Linked DNA regions of Neodiprion lecontei. The protein of the gene in region 3 interacts with the protein of the main gene of each other region in a pairwise test. Links are inferred from orthologs where the notes say so. Each region holds a gene or a part of one and is shown on either strand. Other genes may lie near its edges.

Evidence for each region.
Region 1: the proteins of PAN2-PAN3 deadenylation complex subunit PAN3 (region 3) and PAN2-PAN3 deadenylation complex catalytic subunit PAN2 interact in binary tests that used the Drosophila melanogaster proteins (3 or more experiments, as listed by UniProt). The link is inferred for Neodiprion lecontei from reciprocal best matches to the Drosophila melanogaster genes PAN3 and PAN2.
Region 2: the proteins of PAN2-PAN3 deadenylation complex subunit PAN3 (region 3) and cyclin-K interact in a two-hybrid assay, tested with the Drosophila melanogaster proteins (3 studies listed by BioGRID). The link is inferred for Neodiprion lecontei from reciprocal best matches to the Drosophila melanogaster genes PAN3 and CycK.

Annotation. Positions count from the first base shown.
Region 1 is NC_060263.1:1,323,204-1,327,813, reverse strand, and holds the start of PAN2-PAN3 deadenylation complex catalytic subunit PAN2, read left to right. Parts: upstream 1-1,582; 5' UTR 1,583-1,770; coding exon of another isoform or gene 1,771-1,786; 5' UTR 1,787-2,044; coding exon 2,045-2,114; intron 2,115-3,459; coding exon 3,460-3,647; intron 3,648-3,769; coding exon 3,770-3,939; intron 3,940-4,029; coding exon 4,030-4,150; intron 4,151-4,310; coding exon 4,311-4,507; intron 4,508-4,610. UniProt on the Drosophila melanogaster protein: Catalytic subunit of the poly(A)-nuclease (PAN) deadenylation complex, one of two cytoplasmic mRNA deadenylases involved in general and miRNA-mediated mRNA turnover.
Region 2 is NC_060264.1:32,146,066-32,150,699, forward strand, and holds cyclin-K, read left to right. Parts: upstream 1-1,776; coding exon 1,777-1,995; intron 1,996-2,076; coding exon 2,077-2,208; intron 2,209-2,306; coding exon 2,307-2,412; intron 2,413-2,493; coding exon 2,494-2,551; intron 2,552-2,649; coding exon 2,650-2,822; coding exon of another isoform or gene 2,823-2,853; intron 2,854-2,927; coding exon 2,928-3,071; intron 3,072-3,214; coding exon 3,215-3,600; 3' UTR 3,601-4,106; downstream 4,107-4,634. Other genes in the region: uncharacterized protein LOC107217142, read right to left, coding at 2,813-2,853, 4,328-4,498, 4,604-4,634.
Region 3 is NC_060261.1:2,744,307-2,751,604, reverse strand, and holds PAN2-PAN3 deadenylation complex subunit PAN3, read left to right. Parts: upstream 1-1,792; 5' UTR 1,793-1,897; coding exon 1,898-1,990; intron 1,991-2,645; exon of another isoform or gene 2,646-2,929; coding exon of another isoform or gene 2,930-2,977; intron 2,978-3,126; coding exon 3,127-3,396; intron 3,397-3,665; coding exon 3,666-3,923; intron 3,924-4,105; coding exon 4,106-4,481; intron 4,482-4,573; coding exon 4,574-4,690; intron 4,691-4,766; coding exon 4,767-5,006; intron 5,007-5,166; coding exon 5,167-5,449; intron 5,450-5,570; coding exon 5,571-5,925; intron 5,926-6,051; coding exon 6,052-6,171; 3' UTR 6,172-6,775; downstream 6,776-7,298. Other genes in the region: nuclear pore complex protein Nup205, read right to left, coding at 18-434, 519-682, 962-971. UniProt on the Drosophila melanogaster protein: Regulatory subunit of the poly(A)-nuclease (PAN) deadenylation complex, one of two cytoplasmic mRNA deadenylases involved in general and miRNA-mediated mRNA turnover.

The sequences.
Region 1 (4,610 bases), on a different chromosome or scaffold from region 3:
CCTTTAAAGCGAACTATCCACAAATAAGTTTATTACTCACTCGACTGTAGGAGTTGGCAGCTGATACGGGAATGGTATACTCGTATTATAGCGAAGATGGTCAGTCCCAAGAGATTTTGAATACGAACAGGCCTGTGTTCGAAATCCGGATGAAAAGAGGATCTCGCAAAGAGTGATACTGATGAGGTCCAGATACAGATGGAGAGAGTGACCAAATCTCGAATCTGTAATGAGTAATGTAGTATATATTATATCGATGTGAAAATGTATTTTATGAGTACTCTAAGTTTCCAACACTCGATATTTACTGTATAATATAAAAATATCTGTAGACATATTATATTTCTACATAGAAGTATACTCTAACTCGACGTATGTACGAAGCTATTTCACGGTTATAACGATGATGAATTTCACCAATGCAGGTACTAGTAACGATTCTTCTGCACATGCAAATGTCCAAAACGCTTTTTACGCAACCTGCGACACTATGCTCTAACCATTGTGCGTACGTATATTGTTGTAATCACAACGAAAAGTCAATGTGATGCAGTCCGAATGCCCTGGTGACTACAGCCAGCAAATATTACGAGGTTGAAGTTAGTAATGTTATCGTAACAAAACATTAGGGAAGCATCACAATTTTCCTTATTTTAGAGTTATTTTGAAGGAACTAAGATGTCGAAATTTGAGAATGTTTTGTTTTATTACGGTTCGATGAATTGCAGACAACTTCAATATCGCTAAATAACCGTTTTTTCTCATCATGAACCCATACGATAACGTTACCAACTTCAATATGATCAAATGTTTCCAACTGTAATTTTCTTAAATGTATACATGCTCATAAACGAATAATATATTACATGAATGTATTTTATCAAGCACGGAATTAAAGAAGACTCTAATTATCCAATAATCGTGAAATGCAAGATAACAATTGTTTGTATTGAGCTGTATAGATACATGTTTTTTTTTCATTCCCGAAAGCAACTGGTTGTACCCGTTCTAAAAGACAAGATTTTCCTTAAATACAAACAATCACCTTACGATTTATTCTACTCACATCAGAACGAGATTTTTCGGTTTCCATTGTTGATCTAACGGCGACTAGTCAAGACCATTTATGAGTGTGTGTTTTGACGAAATAACGACAGCGATTTCATGCATCAGCTTGAAACAAAACAAGGTCTCCTTCTGTACAACCTGACGTTAGGCGCTACACGTTGTTGCTCGCGTTGCAGATGTTTAGGAGCAAAGAAACGCTTAAGAAGCAAAGCTACGTGAAATAAGTACGTGGGCCTGCTTATAACAGACGATGAGAATCGTATGAGGAAGTACGCGTAATATATTTTCGCGTAAGATCTACTTTCTGTTATTTACCTATCGTCCCGTGGCTACATATGAAAGTAAATATTGTCCCTCGACGCGTGCTGAACAAACATCGACAACTTGAAGCACCGAAGTAAATAAGAAATCCAACCGACGCAGGCGCAGTTCGATCGCGCGTGAGTCGAGAAGTCGAAGCTAGGTGACGCCACGTACAAGGCTGAACTGCCTGAAGTCGGTTGGCGTTGCCGTTGGTGTTTCTGTAGGTGAAATGAAGGCGCAGAAAAGGTGTTTGTAGCGATGAAGCTGAACGAGAAGAACCAACGGTGAAGAGGGAAACAAACGTCGCGCGTAAAGTGGTCCGAAGTAGGAGAAAAGAGATTGTTAAATAAATGAGAGTGACGTGCGCTAACGAGGTCAAAAACAAACGAAAGATGTGCAATGTCGTGGATAAACTGTAAGCAAGACCATGATCAGTACCGTATTTTAACTATTCTCGTTTAGAAATTATTACCGGAAGTAGGTCGCTCGTTTGTTGCACAGTTGCCAAGGCGACTGACCACCGATGGTGGTCTATTGAATATATTTAAGTGCGTGCACCGTCAACACCGAAATGTGCTACTGATTCGTTAGCCATTGCGACGAACACGCTTGCCAAACGGGGAGATATCCCCATGATAGAACCTAGAACGCGGCCGAACCGAGGATCGCTATAATGGACTATTCGGTTCTTGGCCACTACGATCCTTCCGTTGAGGTCGTGGCGGGCGACCAGGAGCTGATCTGTGAGTTACGCGCCAATGACGCGTTGTTTTGACAGACGTAGATCCGCACGCACGATTCCAACGACAACATCCACTCTCCGCTTCCCCGATTTCTATCACCCAATTAGCCTCAGCATGCCGCTCTCCGTTACATCCACTCCACTCCACAAATTAGAGACAAGATACCAAATTTTTCTACATTTATACCGAGGTTGAAATTTTCCTCACTCGACGAAGCGATGACAGCGGTCACCTGATCAGCTATTCATTTGTTTTATTCGCTAACTTCACTCAGCTTTGACTGTGTCACGTACGCGCTCCGGCTTTCTTTTTTCTACCCCCGGATGTTCGACCATCTGACCATCTCAGTATCTCACAATAACCTCAAAATGCAGTCTAGCTGGAGCAATTATGTCAATGAATAAACTGTACCTTTAATTCTTAGAGTAAATTGCGTTTTCTCTTGCTCCCATCTTATTGGTGCAATCATATTTCGAAAATTTGGTTTTGGACCGTTTGATTTCGAAATTTGAATCTGTAACGTATCTTTTCATCAGACTGAAGTTTGTAACGGTATTGTAATTATGCATCTTCAGAAAACCTTGTTATTTTTCAACTTTAGAGGATTAGAAATTCAAGTAACTGTTAGTAAAGCATGAACAAACTCAGATTTCGTAAATTCAACTTCTACAGTCATTCTAAAGATACAAAACAGTTATTTTTTGTTTCAACTTTCCGATACAGTAACGTTACTAACTTCAGCCTTGGAACTTTTCACTGTTATTCATTATCTTATTCGATGTTAAGATCTAGCGCTTAATTGACCAGCTTGTACAACTTACATTTGAGAGACATTTCTCGGTTTAGATACTGTATTGTAATAGGCCCTGGTATTGACTGTTATAAATTTCAATTAATTGCATGCATATAATATACACGTATTACAAAGATAACAATTCCCTTATTGTAACAAGTATCGTAGACGTAAAAGCGTACTGCACGATATCTCTTCCGTTCAATTTCTGTATTTTTTATTCTTTGTTCTTTTGTGAGAGTGATTTATGTAAATTACTGCATGCCGTTTTACAGTGTGTTTTTTTCCATTAAAGAGAAAGGATTTTTTGATCGTTAGTAAGTTAAAAATGACAATACCATTCGCTTTGAGGTTCACTTATCTTTACAGGATAATTCTTACCACAACATTAAACCACAGATAAAGAATTTCACTGATGGCTAGAATTATTGTTAACAAACAATGATGAATCAGATTCATTACTTTCATTTAGAATCATCTTGTTACTTAATAAAATTTAGAAGAATTTCCTCTATTTTGATCTTTGCCAATAACTGTAAACTGAAATTGCAGGGGAAGAATCAAACTATGACTTATCAAGCGAGGGGTTTGTGCCTGCGGCAGAACAGTTTGGCGAGGAATTTGCAGGTGCGGAATTCCAAGAGACTAGAACCTTATTGGCCGATGGAGGTGATAGATTCGGTGTTTCCACCCTCACCTTTGACAATGCCGAAGAACTCATGTGGATGGGAAATCAAGGGGTACAAATCAGTCTGAACCAATCTATTCTGCCGCAATAAAACGCAGATCTTACACCAATATCCGATTGAATTTCCATGAAGAGAAAAATAATATTAACATGTATTTTCAATTACTTATCAAGGGTCACGTGACGTCTTACTATGGGCCTGGCCTCCAGAAATACACGTCGTTTCAAGTGCATGCCTCACAAGAAGTCCGACATATCCATCCGATTGACGAAGGAATCCTTGTGCTCACGCAAAGTATGCTTCGTTGTCAGCTACGGCGTGGCATACCGATATTTACTCACACGTACGTTTACTTTACTACAATCCTTTGAGCAGCATTTCGGCATTCTTCAGTCTGATCACATTTTTCATTCGAAATGTAATCGTATAACAGGTCCTCAAACATGATAGACATGCAATGCATGCTTCAAACATCACCTGCGAGACTACTTATGGGAGGTCATCAAAAAAAAATTATTGATTTCAATCTCACCAGAGGGAAAGAAACTGGCCTGGTAAGGAAATTTTTGTCAGACGTTTAATAGGCATAGTGGCTTTATACTCGACAAGTATGCATTTTCGTAGCGTGTGAAGCTTTAAAACTATCCGATATTGACTATGTCTCTTACTTCGGTAGAAAAATTGAATAACGCGAAACTACACTTTGGTTTTTAGGTACACGTCGGCGATCACGGTTGTGCAATATTGAGACAGCACAGCCGTCTTATATGCGCAGGCAATCCTGCTGGGAGAATAGACCTTCGGGATCCAAATACTCTGTCGATAGAACACACTTTAGACACCCACAGTGGCTCCCTGAGCGATTTTGATGTACAAGGAAATTATCTAGTTACTTGTGGATTTAGCAATAGGTGAGCCTTTTATTTTCGGAGTAAAGAATCAGTGAAATGTAATTGCATTTCTGTAAGAAGTTAGTTACATAAAAAAAAAATACGCATTTTACTTCAAGACTAA
Region 2 (4,634 bases), on a different chromosome or scaffold from region 3:
GATCCGGAAAAAGGAAGTTTCAGTCGGACCAAAGTTAAAGCGGTTTTTGATAATCTCTTTGCTATTTTTTTTTTTTTTTTTTGAATCAATTTTTCAAAACAAATCTACGCCGCATATTGTTAGATGCACCCATCGAAAATAAACAATAACAACAGTTTGTATCGATCTGCGGTTGAAAATTTTTTTGCTAACTATGCTGGTATTACAGAAAGCATACTGACCATATCCTCACACGTGTCGGTAAATAGATTTTTGTTCCTTCTATCACCACAAATTCCTCACAAGGTTGGCTCTCTCATCTAAGTTTATATCTCTGGGATAGTACTGCACTCTACACATAGAATTATAAAGATAGACTAAGCGCTCCTGTACGAGGCACTGACAATTACATATAAAGGACAGAGATATACCGGGAGGACTGCTCTTTCTTTTCAATCGGCGTCATGGTGGGAGACAACGGAACAGTGGAAGTGGAACAGCTATAGATACAGGCGCATAATTTCACCTCATCCCCTCTACCGCCTCGATCCGCGCCACAAATATCGTCAGGGAGAGAAAAGGAGTACTCCCGGCATATTTCTGTCCTTTAAATGTTTGATTCAAGCAGCTCATAAGAGCGCTCAGTCTATCTTTATAAGTCTATGACTTTACACGGCGGCTGCACCGAAAACCTTCAATGCCAGCCAATACTAGAACGTTGACTGAAAATCACTGATCTCTACTATAGGCAGAGATCAGTGCTGAAAATATCCTCAGTCAACGCTTCGTGATAATATTGTATAGGGGCAAGACCGTGGTCGCGGCCAATTCGTAGTAGACTGGTAATGCCACCGCCATCTTATATTTTGTTACATTTCACAACTACCAGTTGATTCATGGCGTTCGCTCTTATAGCTTTGATATAAAGTGGTTTAAAGTGTTTGTAAGCAAATATGTCCAGAAAAGCAAACTGCTATGTATTAAATTGTTCTACCGTAACATCTGTACGGCATAGGTTTCCAAAAAATGTAAGAGATGTATTTCTTACATGGAAACATCGTGCTCAACACCCGAGTTTTAGCGAACTTAGCGCAAACATATTATGTGTAAGACATCAAATATAAACTAGTCTAATTGAATCATCTATTTAATCACCCACCTTTTAGTAATAATTTTATAATACGTGAAAAAGTATTCCTTACTCTAAATTCGATTTTGCCGCTACCAATTCCCTATTAGTCTCGTTAGTACCGATTGCAACCATGGCAAGGTGAGTGGCGCTGCCTACAGGAAAACTTGTCCCCCACCTCGGAGGACTGCAGATACGCTTCTATAGTTCTATTTAGAATTGTGGTTCCAGCGTAAGTAGTTTATTTTCCACTATTTACAATTGTTCGCGTTAAGTGGTTCAAATAATGAGTGTATATGTTAGTTTAACGCGTAATTTTGAAGCACAGAATTTACGAAGAATAGCCAATAAATACTTTTGCTGATATTGATTAAAAAATTCAAAATGTGATTGTTCTGATTATGGTGAACTATTCTAACCTGCAAGATAGGCGCAAAGCCTGACTTAACCCGTATGTGTTCAGAATCTGAAACCCATTAGCCTTCGGTAATCATGTTTCGCAAGTGAATCGCATTCAAATATATTTTGAAAATATTCTCAAACAGTCCGAAATCTTTAACTAAGTATTAAAGGGCAGTCAGTCAAACTTTGATAAGTGTAATTTCGTTCAAAGTTTTCTTGAATGAACACAAAGAAAATATCTTTATAAACTTATATAGACATTCAAAATGCCGTGCTGGTACTACGAGAAAAAAGAGCTCCGCAATACACCATCGATTCAGGATGGTATCGACTACGAGACAGAGTGTCGATACCGCAAGGAAGGCGCTAGGTTCATTATTGACACTGGAACGAAGATGGACCTTGGATATAACACTATGGCGACCGGTGTTGTGTACTTTCACAGATTCTACATGTTTCACTCGTTTAAGAATTTTCCTAGATATGTAAGTGCATATTCAAACTGCTTTAGATTTAGATTTACTCTATGCACAGATTCATATTTAATTCTTCATTATCTTACACAGGTCACAGCCTGTTGTTGCTTATTTCTTGCCGGAAAGGTTGAAGAAACACCTAAAAAATGCAAAGACATTATAAAAACTGCTAAGACGTTACTTAGCGATCAAAAGTTTCTGACTTTTGGAGAAGATCCAAAGGTGCGTGATTTTCAAGCCTTGAATTGATTTGTAGATGGCAATTTATTCAATTTGTTATTTTGAAACTTTACCAACATTTATTTTTATTGTATTTGCAGGAGGAAGTGATGACACTGGAAAGGATTCTTTTACAAACAATTAAATTCGACTTGCAAGTCGAACACCCGTATAGCTACCTATTGAAATATGCAAAGTGTCTGAAAGGCACGTGTTTTCTACATGCGATATCGATATAAAATTTTTATCGCTATCTAATCACAGCTATTATTCTTCTCGACTTTTCAGGTGATAAGAACAAACTACAAAAAATGGTGCAAATGGCGTGGACGTTTGTAAATGACAGGTGTAACTTCAACAATTTTCACTTTAATTTTTCCTGAAAACTTTCATATTAATTGATTATTTAGCTTTAACATATTTTCTTGCACTTTACCGTTACAGCCTCTGTACTACACTCTCCTTGCAATGGGAACCGGAAATCATAGCCGTTGCTCTCATGTACCTTGCTGGTAAATTGAGCAAATTCGAAGTTGTCGACTGGAACGGAAGGCTCCCGAAGCATCTCAGATGGTGGGACATGTTCGTCGAAGACGTGACCATGGATTTACTTGAAGGTTCGAAGATGATTGTAGTATAGGTCTATAACTGCAAACATCCATAACATAACAACTGTTACAGGCTCCAACATGTTTGCTTAAAATCAATCTTGTCAATTACAGATATTTGCCATCAAGTTTTAGACCTATACTCGCAAGCAAACAATGCGAAGGCACCGGATTCTCCGCCGCTTGTGTCGACTCATGAAGGAAATAGAGAATGGGCCACAATACCCACTGCTAACGACGTTGCCGCTAGTGCTCCAGGTATATCCTAACATATTTTATCATTCAATTATAATTTTCGAACAAACCGAATATTAAATCTTACACGGCAAAGCTATTGTTCAATACTATTTCAAATGAAAGAAAATTTGTCAAACGTTTGTTAATAATTATCTTATTTACAGCAACACCGAATAAAATTTCAAAAATTGAAGTTACCTCCAGTACCGTAAACGGCTCCTCAAACGCGGATGCTACCGATGGTTCAAAGCCAGTTGAAATACCGGCTCACTTTCCTCCGTACCCCGCTACTTTTACACCATCTTCGACGGCCTATCCCCCTGTATTCCCGCCGACAAATATTTCCGTTCCACCGCCGTCCGTCACGACGATTAATCACATCGTTTCGGCTATGCATCCCTTCAATTCATCAGGTGCAATTCGACCGTCAGCACCAGCTCTCGCTCCACCCACGTTCCAACCCTTTCCATACCCTGCAGCGACAACATATTTTCAACCTGGGAACCCAGCACCACCATCTACGACACAGAGAGCTTATTACCCGCCCTAACAGACCGACGATTCCTAGGTTTACGATGTAGAATTACGGTTAGGTTTATGCAAATTGTGAACTTTGTACCGGAATCCCATGTTGATGTTGTTATGTACTCGTTTTCCGGTCATGCATGAAATTCATTTTGTAAAAAATTGCTAGCAATTTATTATTGATTCATAAATCAATATCTAGGTAAAAAGAATATACTAAATGATATCATAGATGAAGAAAAGCGTGGCATTAAGCAAGCGATATTGCTAAATTTAAGCAATAGTGACAGGTACGAAAAACCGTCTCTCCTACTACAGTCGACCATTATCTCTTATCAATAGTAGTTTCATTTCTTTACAATAGATCAAATACATTTGATTTTCAATCGCTTCGGATACAGCTGTATGGAAATTTTTTATAAATACTATAAATCAGTAAATTACAATTAAATACATATGTAAAATAATCGCCAAGGTGTTGATCATTTTCACAAAGTGTACAATATCATATTAAAAATTCAGGAATATCAATTGCTATTATTGATAATAAAAGTGAGATATGTACCAACAAAATATTGACATGTCAACAATCTCTAACTTCAATCCAATCTCAAGATGTCCCGCTTCTGAGAGTCCAAGCAAGTATAAAATTATTCGAATCACAAGAAAATGAGGTACGGAAATAATAATTTTTATTACAAAGTTTATCAAAGAAGGCACAAACGACATTATGATCTACATGTACAAATTACCTCTGCTGCTAAAACTACTCTGCTTGAAGACTGGATCGTGTAATAGACTACCTGGAATGGCAGCAAACAATTTCACCAAGGGCATAGCTGTCTCCGAATCGAGTAGAAACTCTTCCACGTAAAGTACGTACAGCACAGCAGAGAGTTCGAATATTTCAGCATACGACATTACTGGAATGTGAATAATTTTATCGGTTGAGGAAAATGAATTTTCCCACACGGAACTGATGGCAAAAAACGGTTGGCCATTTAAGATATAATATTACAAATACAAACCTCCAGCTGCAATTCCATGAACTATATTGGG
Region 3 (7,298 bases):
AAATACAAATTTTTTACCTTCGTCGGATCCATATCCTCCAAAAGGTTCAGGATCCTGTCCAGCAGGCCGTCTTCCTGCATTTTGTTGGTATACTCCGTAATTTGCTTGGTAAGCGTAACGGGTGTGTCGAGAACCCAAGTATGACCATTTCTGGCTTGAACCAAAGTCCTCAATGTTGAGGTGAGAGCTTTCTTCCCGTCATAGTACAGAAGGACAGCAGTTAGGCCTCGTGTCAATCCAGGATGATGCGGCATTTGAAGTTGAGCAGTACAGAGTAAGTCAAGAGCCATAAATTCATTTAGTTCGTACATGTCGGATAATATAATTGTCTCGTCAACCAATTCTTTGGACAAAACCTGGTGACCTAGTCCAGGCAGAGTTATACCCTCCGTCACTGCATTTTTAATTTCCTCACGACTCTTTGCATTCTTTGCCTAGAATGAGGATATGATAAACTTAGCACATGGCAATCAAGGTCTCCAAGTCGCAGCTACTACATGTTGAAATATTATGCTTACAGGATTGCTTAGGAGATTTAGAAAATTCTGTCGGTGATTGCGAAGCGCTTCCATAAATTCATGGTATTGTGGATCGTGGGAACTGGGTGCAGAGGTAATATATTGATCGACGAGACTCTGGAGTTCCTTGTAAGGAGTCCACATGTCCTCCGTACTTGTCTTTTCTGTAATAGTAAATGGTGTCGATGTGACAAAACTTAACCTAGGAAAATTCAAATTCACGCTAAAACGAATTATCAACCGAAACGTGAATTGTATCACTGAACAAGCATACAAAATATGAAGGTAAATACAACCACGTATTTTGACAGACAATTGATCATAAACGTTGTTGCATTTGTACCGGTGATGAAGTTGGGTAAAACTAGGTTATGTCACGTTACAACCGGGAGAAGAGTTCCAGTAATTAATGTAGAATAAGTTAGACGCATACGCAGACCTACCTTCAGTCATCCTTGCGCTATTTAAACTAAACTCAGAAGGTCAAATTCAACAATCACTGAAGAAAGAGACAAACACTCATTCGTGAATTGGCGGTTGGCGCTGATTTGTAAAACCGCGTGAACATGGCTGCGTTCATGATACATGGTCGCGAGCGAGCAGTGGTCGCCAACTTAAAAAAGGTAAATAATTGATCAATGCCACCCACTTAAAAAAAAAAGAACCTTCTTCATCAATGGAACTCGGTTGGGTCCAAGCGTCATTGGATTTCACCACTACGTTACTCAATCCGATCGCTAAATGCAGTTTGGATCAAATTTATAACAAAAAAATGCGCCAAACTTCAACCAAATATATATTTGTAGCGCTTTTTTGATTTATGTTGCTATTTTCGTTGGCCACTCGACGAAAAAACGTCATTACTCGATGTGTTCCGAGACTCGTCAATGCGAATAATAGGCGATAAATGCAACGATTTATCAGCTCCACGCAATCAAAAACGATGATTCGTTCGATTTTAAATTTCCAAAATGAAAAATAACGATCGACAAGCTCGTGGTTGAATATAAAATTTGATAAAAGATACCGGAAATGGCCGAGGTCTAAATTGTATTTCGAAAAATAAAGTATATACGTATGCGAAGCACGACTTCCGGAAGGACAGCTGCGATCGAAGTAAGAGCAGCAAGTTGTCCGTGAGTGTAGACAAGTGTAGCATAAAAACACAGTGAGATCGGTATCACGGAGTACGCTTTCACCTTTGTCTGCGGGAAGGAAAAATGTTTTGAACGGTCAGTACTAAAGTATATTAATCTAAGCTTGAAAGAATCTCATTTATTTGTTTTTTTTAATAACCCAAACGCCGTCCGTCGCAAAGCGTCTGGAGCGTCTGTTTTATTTTCGCGCCGTCCTCAGACGCGACGTCACTGACAACTCGGATGGGTTATGTTGGTCCACCATATCTTCGATGTTTTTATAGACTTCGGTTCTACATTTTGGAAAAAATTTTCGCCTCGCGTCGCGTTTTTGAGGTGCTCAGTTATGTTTAAACTTTTACAATTTTTTTTCGTAAAAAGACGAACTTTTTTTTAACGTTGTTGAAAACCAAAATTAACCACTTTTGTCGCGATTCTGTGTGTGCATTGTCAAAATCAGCTGCTTCATTGTTAGTTTATTACTACATTGTTCGAATCAAATCCTGCTGCATTTTCTTGACCCCCCTCAATTTTTAGAGGCAACAAGTATATCACACACTTGTGTACATATTCTCCATGTTGTTGTCTCTAGTCTGATATAGCGAAGGCTAGAATTACACACTAGGTTCAAAAGTTCTGTGATTTATATTCTTTTTTCTTACTTTTCCTTAACTTCAATAGAATACAAATTCCATTTATTAATGCTTTTTCTACCCTGAACGATATTCTATTTTCAGGAAAACCATCAACTTTCACTGTTGCCTTATGTTAAATTCAAGCATCGATGTTTTCGATAACACAGGTTCTACTACTGTACCTTTAATCGTCTCACCTTTACGCGCAACAATTACTGAATATAAAACAAATTTGCATGTTTTTATATTTCTCTTTCTGCACCGTTCTGAACAGATTCGTTTGGTTTTTTTTATTCAACGATTAATTAAGTCACAAAGTAGACAAACTTGTTCTAATGATCACCGTTCATTTTCAGGGTTTACAAGTCGAACATATTGGAAAAAAATAGAAGCAGCACTGTTAAAGAATAAAAAAATAAAAAATAAAAAAAAAGAACAAAAAAAAAACGAAAAGAGAAACTTGAAATTATCCTGAGAAATTTTAGAAAAATGGAGTAAAAGAAAGACTGGATATGAGATTAAATAACTTAGGTGATAATAAACAGAAGCAATTTTCCAGTGTGTTAAATGAAGCGAAAGATATTCTTCGACGCAGCTTCAATTGTCTAGAGACGAAGTTGCCTGCCTACGCGAGGTGAAAATGCGACGTCCGTCGAAAGGCAGTAAAACCGTGTCGATAAAGAACTTTGTTAGTAAAATTTTGAGGAGAAAGAAAGAAAAAAAAGAATATTAAAATTATCATTGAATACAAACAAGCTAGTGTAATTTATGCAACTTGTTAAAATATGGAGGAAATGCTATTCGGCAATGATTTTAAAATGTTGAGATTCTTTCCAGCATAGGCAGGCTAGCTTAACGTTGGAAGTCTTGGAAATTCTCTCTCTAGTGACAACGGAAGATAAAGAAAGAAAGAACAGCTCTGGCAGCTGCGAAATTTTTAACAACGAGGACTTCAAAAGCACGAAGGCGGGAGGATCGAAAAATCTAACGGAAAACGGAACGGTGGTCAATGCGGTGGATGGAAGAGAGATGGATCCGTCAATGTTTGTCACTTACACCCCTCAAACAAATGGAGTCCCACAGGAGTCCAAACTTGCAACCTACATGGTAACAAACAGATTTCATTATTTTCGTATAAAAATGAGGAGTCGCACTCGCAAACTAAAATTAAGAAGGTCTAGTTAATTTTCACCTTGAACTCTGAAAAGATAACATCCTAAATTGTAACATAGTGCTAATCGATCAAGATTTTCCGTTAATTGTACTGTTTTTCCATTGATTTTTACACAGTAATTTTGCCTTTAGAAAATATTTATAACATCGAGTTATAGGTAATAATTTTCACACTTAATAATCGTGACGTTTTATGAATCTAGAACTGCCAAAGCTCTGGAGTTGCCCTAAACACAGCTGTAGTGACAAAACATCTCTCCGGCCTTTCACTGGATGCACAAAAAAAAACTACTACCAGTCCGGAATTTGTGCCGGGACGAGGAATTGCAGGTAGCAATAGTAGCTCGCCAAATATATTCAACAGCTCCTATCATTCCCAGGAGAATGTCGGAGGAACAACTTATTTCTACCTCGGGACGTCGACAACGGAAAATGTGTCAAGCGAAGAAGGAGTCGAAGCTGTAAGTTCACCAGACAGAGATTTGAATTTCGCCTCCTTAGGATAAATTTTAACTCACGTAAACGAGAATCAACCACTAATGAGGCGAAAAAGTTTGTATTTAGTAACCGTAGTATATTTTGAAACTTTTGTGTTCCGGTAAAGCGACTACACAGAAATCGTAACGAGAAGTATTTCTTCTAGATTGGAACCGCTGGCGCAAGTCAGATAGGATACGTTTATCCAGGGACCCCCTCTCACCTGCAGACTGCCAAAGCAGCAAAATCTCCCGCATCGAGTAGTCCCTCGGCTCCTTCGACGCCCCCTCCACAGGCCGTTCCGAGTTTTTTTGTCAGCGAAGGCCTGCGACTGGACATTCTCCAAAAAAATGCACTAACGTTAGCTCAGCCAGACCCGGTGCAGTTTCCAGATTTGCCAAACGAAGTAGATAACTACCATGAATTATGCCCTCTCGAACCCATCCATAAATCCACATCGACTGTCCTCGGCTATCAAACCTCCACGTACAAAGCGACCAGTTTAAAAACCGGGACTCGCTATTGCCTGCGCCGAGTACACGGTGAGTCGTGAAGCATATTTATTGCTCTGGTTGGATGGTAAGCGTTATTGTACACGAGCAATCTTACTGTAACTGAGAATTATTCATTTCAGACTTTAGACTTGCCAATACAAAATGTATGGTCTTGGTCGATATGTGGAAGCGGTTGACGCACACTAATTTGGTCCAACTGCGAGAAGTCTTCACCACCAAGACCTTTGGTGATCATTGTATGTACCCAAATATTTTTCTCCCAGCTTTTTCATATTAATCTTTTTTCATTTCACTAAATTAGGACTATTTCAGCCATGGTATTCGTCTATGACTACCACCCTGGGTCCGAGACGCTCTTGAACAAACACTTCTCTGCTACCGAGCTCAACGGCTACTCAGATCCGTTTTCGTCCGACCCCAACGCTCCCCGTCCTTACAGCCACACAAAGAACACCATATTGAGACAACAGCACAGCAGTATGCTGCCAGAAAGCGTTATTTGGAACTACATTATACAGCTGACAGCTGCTCTCCGGGTTATTCACGCAGCTGGTAAGTGATTATTTCATTTTTTGAACATTATTCAGACTTATAGTAACAGTGAGCAGATTTCATATGGCTCTACAATCGCAAAGTTACAATAGAAAGAAGTAAATTGCGAATAAATTCGAAGTTTTTATTATATTATCGTTAGTTTAAAAATTTTCTTCAGGTATTGCGTGTAGATCTCTGGACCCTACAAAGATAATTCTCTCGTCACGAAGTCGGCTGCGTCTCAGCTGCGTCGCGATTCCCGACGTTGTGACGTTTGACGGTACAGCTGCGAATCCGTTGGCACTAATGCCGCATTATCAACAAGAAGACTTGCTCGCATTAGGAAAACTTGTGCTAGCTTTGGCTTGCCGTAGTCTCCTAGCGGTGCATCGTGACAACATGCAGGCCTCCCTGGAACTGGTCGCTCGCACCTACTCGTCTGATCTCAGAAACCTTATATTGTACGTATTTATATTCCATTCTGACATTTTTGCCTATTCTCTTGACCTGAATACGTTTTGTCTAACTTTATTGAGTAGTTTACTCTCGCTCCAGTTACGATAAAGAAATTCGTCATTTCAGGTACCTGCTATCTTCTCAGCAGCGGAGAAGCGTCACTGATTTAATGCCAATGATTGGAGCTCGGTTTTATACTCAACTCGACGCCGTCCATCTTCGTTCAGACGTTCTGGAAGATGAACTTGCCAAAGAGCTAGAAAACGGCAGACTGTTCAGACTACTCGCAAAACTGGCGACCATCAACGAACGGCCAGAGCTGAACATGGAGCCAACGTGGGCTGAAACCGGCGATCGTTACATGCTGAAACTGTTCAGAGACTACGTGTTCCACCAAGTAGCGGCGGATGGAAGACCGTGGTTGGACATGGCCCACGTTGTATCTTGTCTGAACAAACTCGACTCTGGATCTCACGACAAGGTGAGTATTTAGATTCGAGTGATTAGAGTGTTAGATTCAGAAATAGATAAACGGTTGGCATTGCGAAGAAATTTCAAACATTGATCAATACGTCACTTCAATCGATCCTCGATATTTCCTGTTTAGATTTGCCTGATGTCGCGGGATGAGCAAAGCGTGTTGGTCGTTAGTTACGCCGAGTTGCGACAGTGTTTGGAAATGTCATACGCCGAGGTTGTGCATTCTGCGAAGCTGGACGCCGCCTAGGCAATAAAAAAAGCATTGAGTCCAACAGCGGCACAACAGCATATACTCCGAACCATCATTGTGATATCAACAGTTAGCGCTACTACAATTTCTACATTACTCAGGATCGAGGATGATCCAGAGTTGTGGACATGGATTTGGAAGTTCCGGACAAGTCGAAGCGGATGGTGACGCGTGGAGTGAGCTTTTTGATGTGTTTTTGAGATTAAAAACGAAATAAGAAAATAACAATATAAGGAAAGGGATGAAGGAATAAAAGGAGGTGGAGACGACGAAGAATAACGGCCCAAAGGAACGCATCGATTGATGATGCGTTAATTTGAATATAAAATAGGTACAGAAGAAAATCATTAAATGATGTAAAAATCGAAATAATAGTACATATTTCAACATTCAATGAAATCCGCTATGTTGCTACATATACGTATGTACACACAAACACACAGAACTTAATCATGCGCTAAAATCTTAAAATGATACTACTACAACCTAATACACGGAGGCTCAACACAGCCTGTGTATAGGATAGAGATCATAGGTTTTAGGATACAGCTGGTAAGCATTAATTTTGAAATAAATGTTTATTTTTGAAAGCAATCTTAAACGCACGTCTTGTTACTTTTTTCGCAAGTTTTCATTGTTCGAACAATGTCCATGTTTCCATCGTAGGGTCAGAGTCGGGCTAGGTTCAAATTACAGTCGAAAAGAAACGAGATTTGAGAGAAAGAAAATAATTTCCCACATCCGAAATCTCGTTTTTCATTAGCTGTAATTTGAGCCTAACCCGATTCCGACCCTACCATGGGAACATGGTGAATAAATTATCCCCCTCCCCTCGTTTTGAGCCGATAACAACTACGATCTGCAATATCGATTGCCGGTAAGAATGGAATCACGTCGGAGCGGGGCGGTTGGATATTAATCATTTGAATACTCCTCCGGCAGCCCGGTGACAGCGAATTATTGTCTCCTCAGTTACTTCCGCCGCCTTGTTCTCCTCTATATCTATGTATGTACGTAATAAAATACGTACATACGTACAACGTACGCGTGCATAAATAGGTAGATGTAACGTTGTAGCCGCATGTAGTGCATTACCTCCCTCCCACCCTTGCGGACAGGCTCGC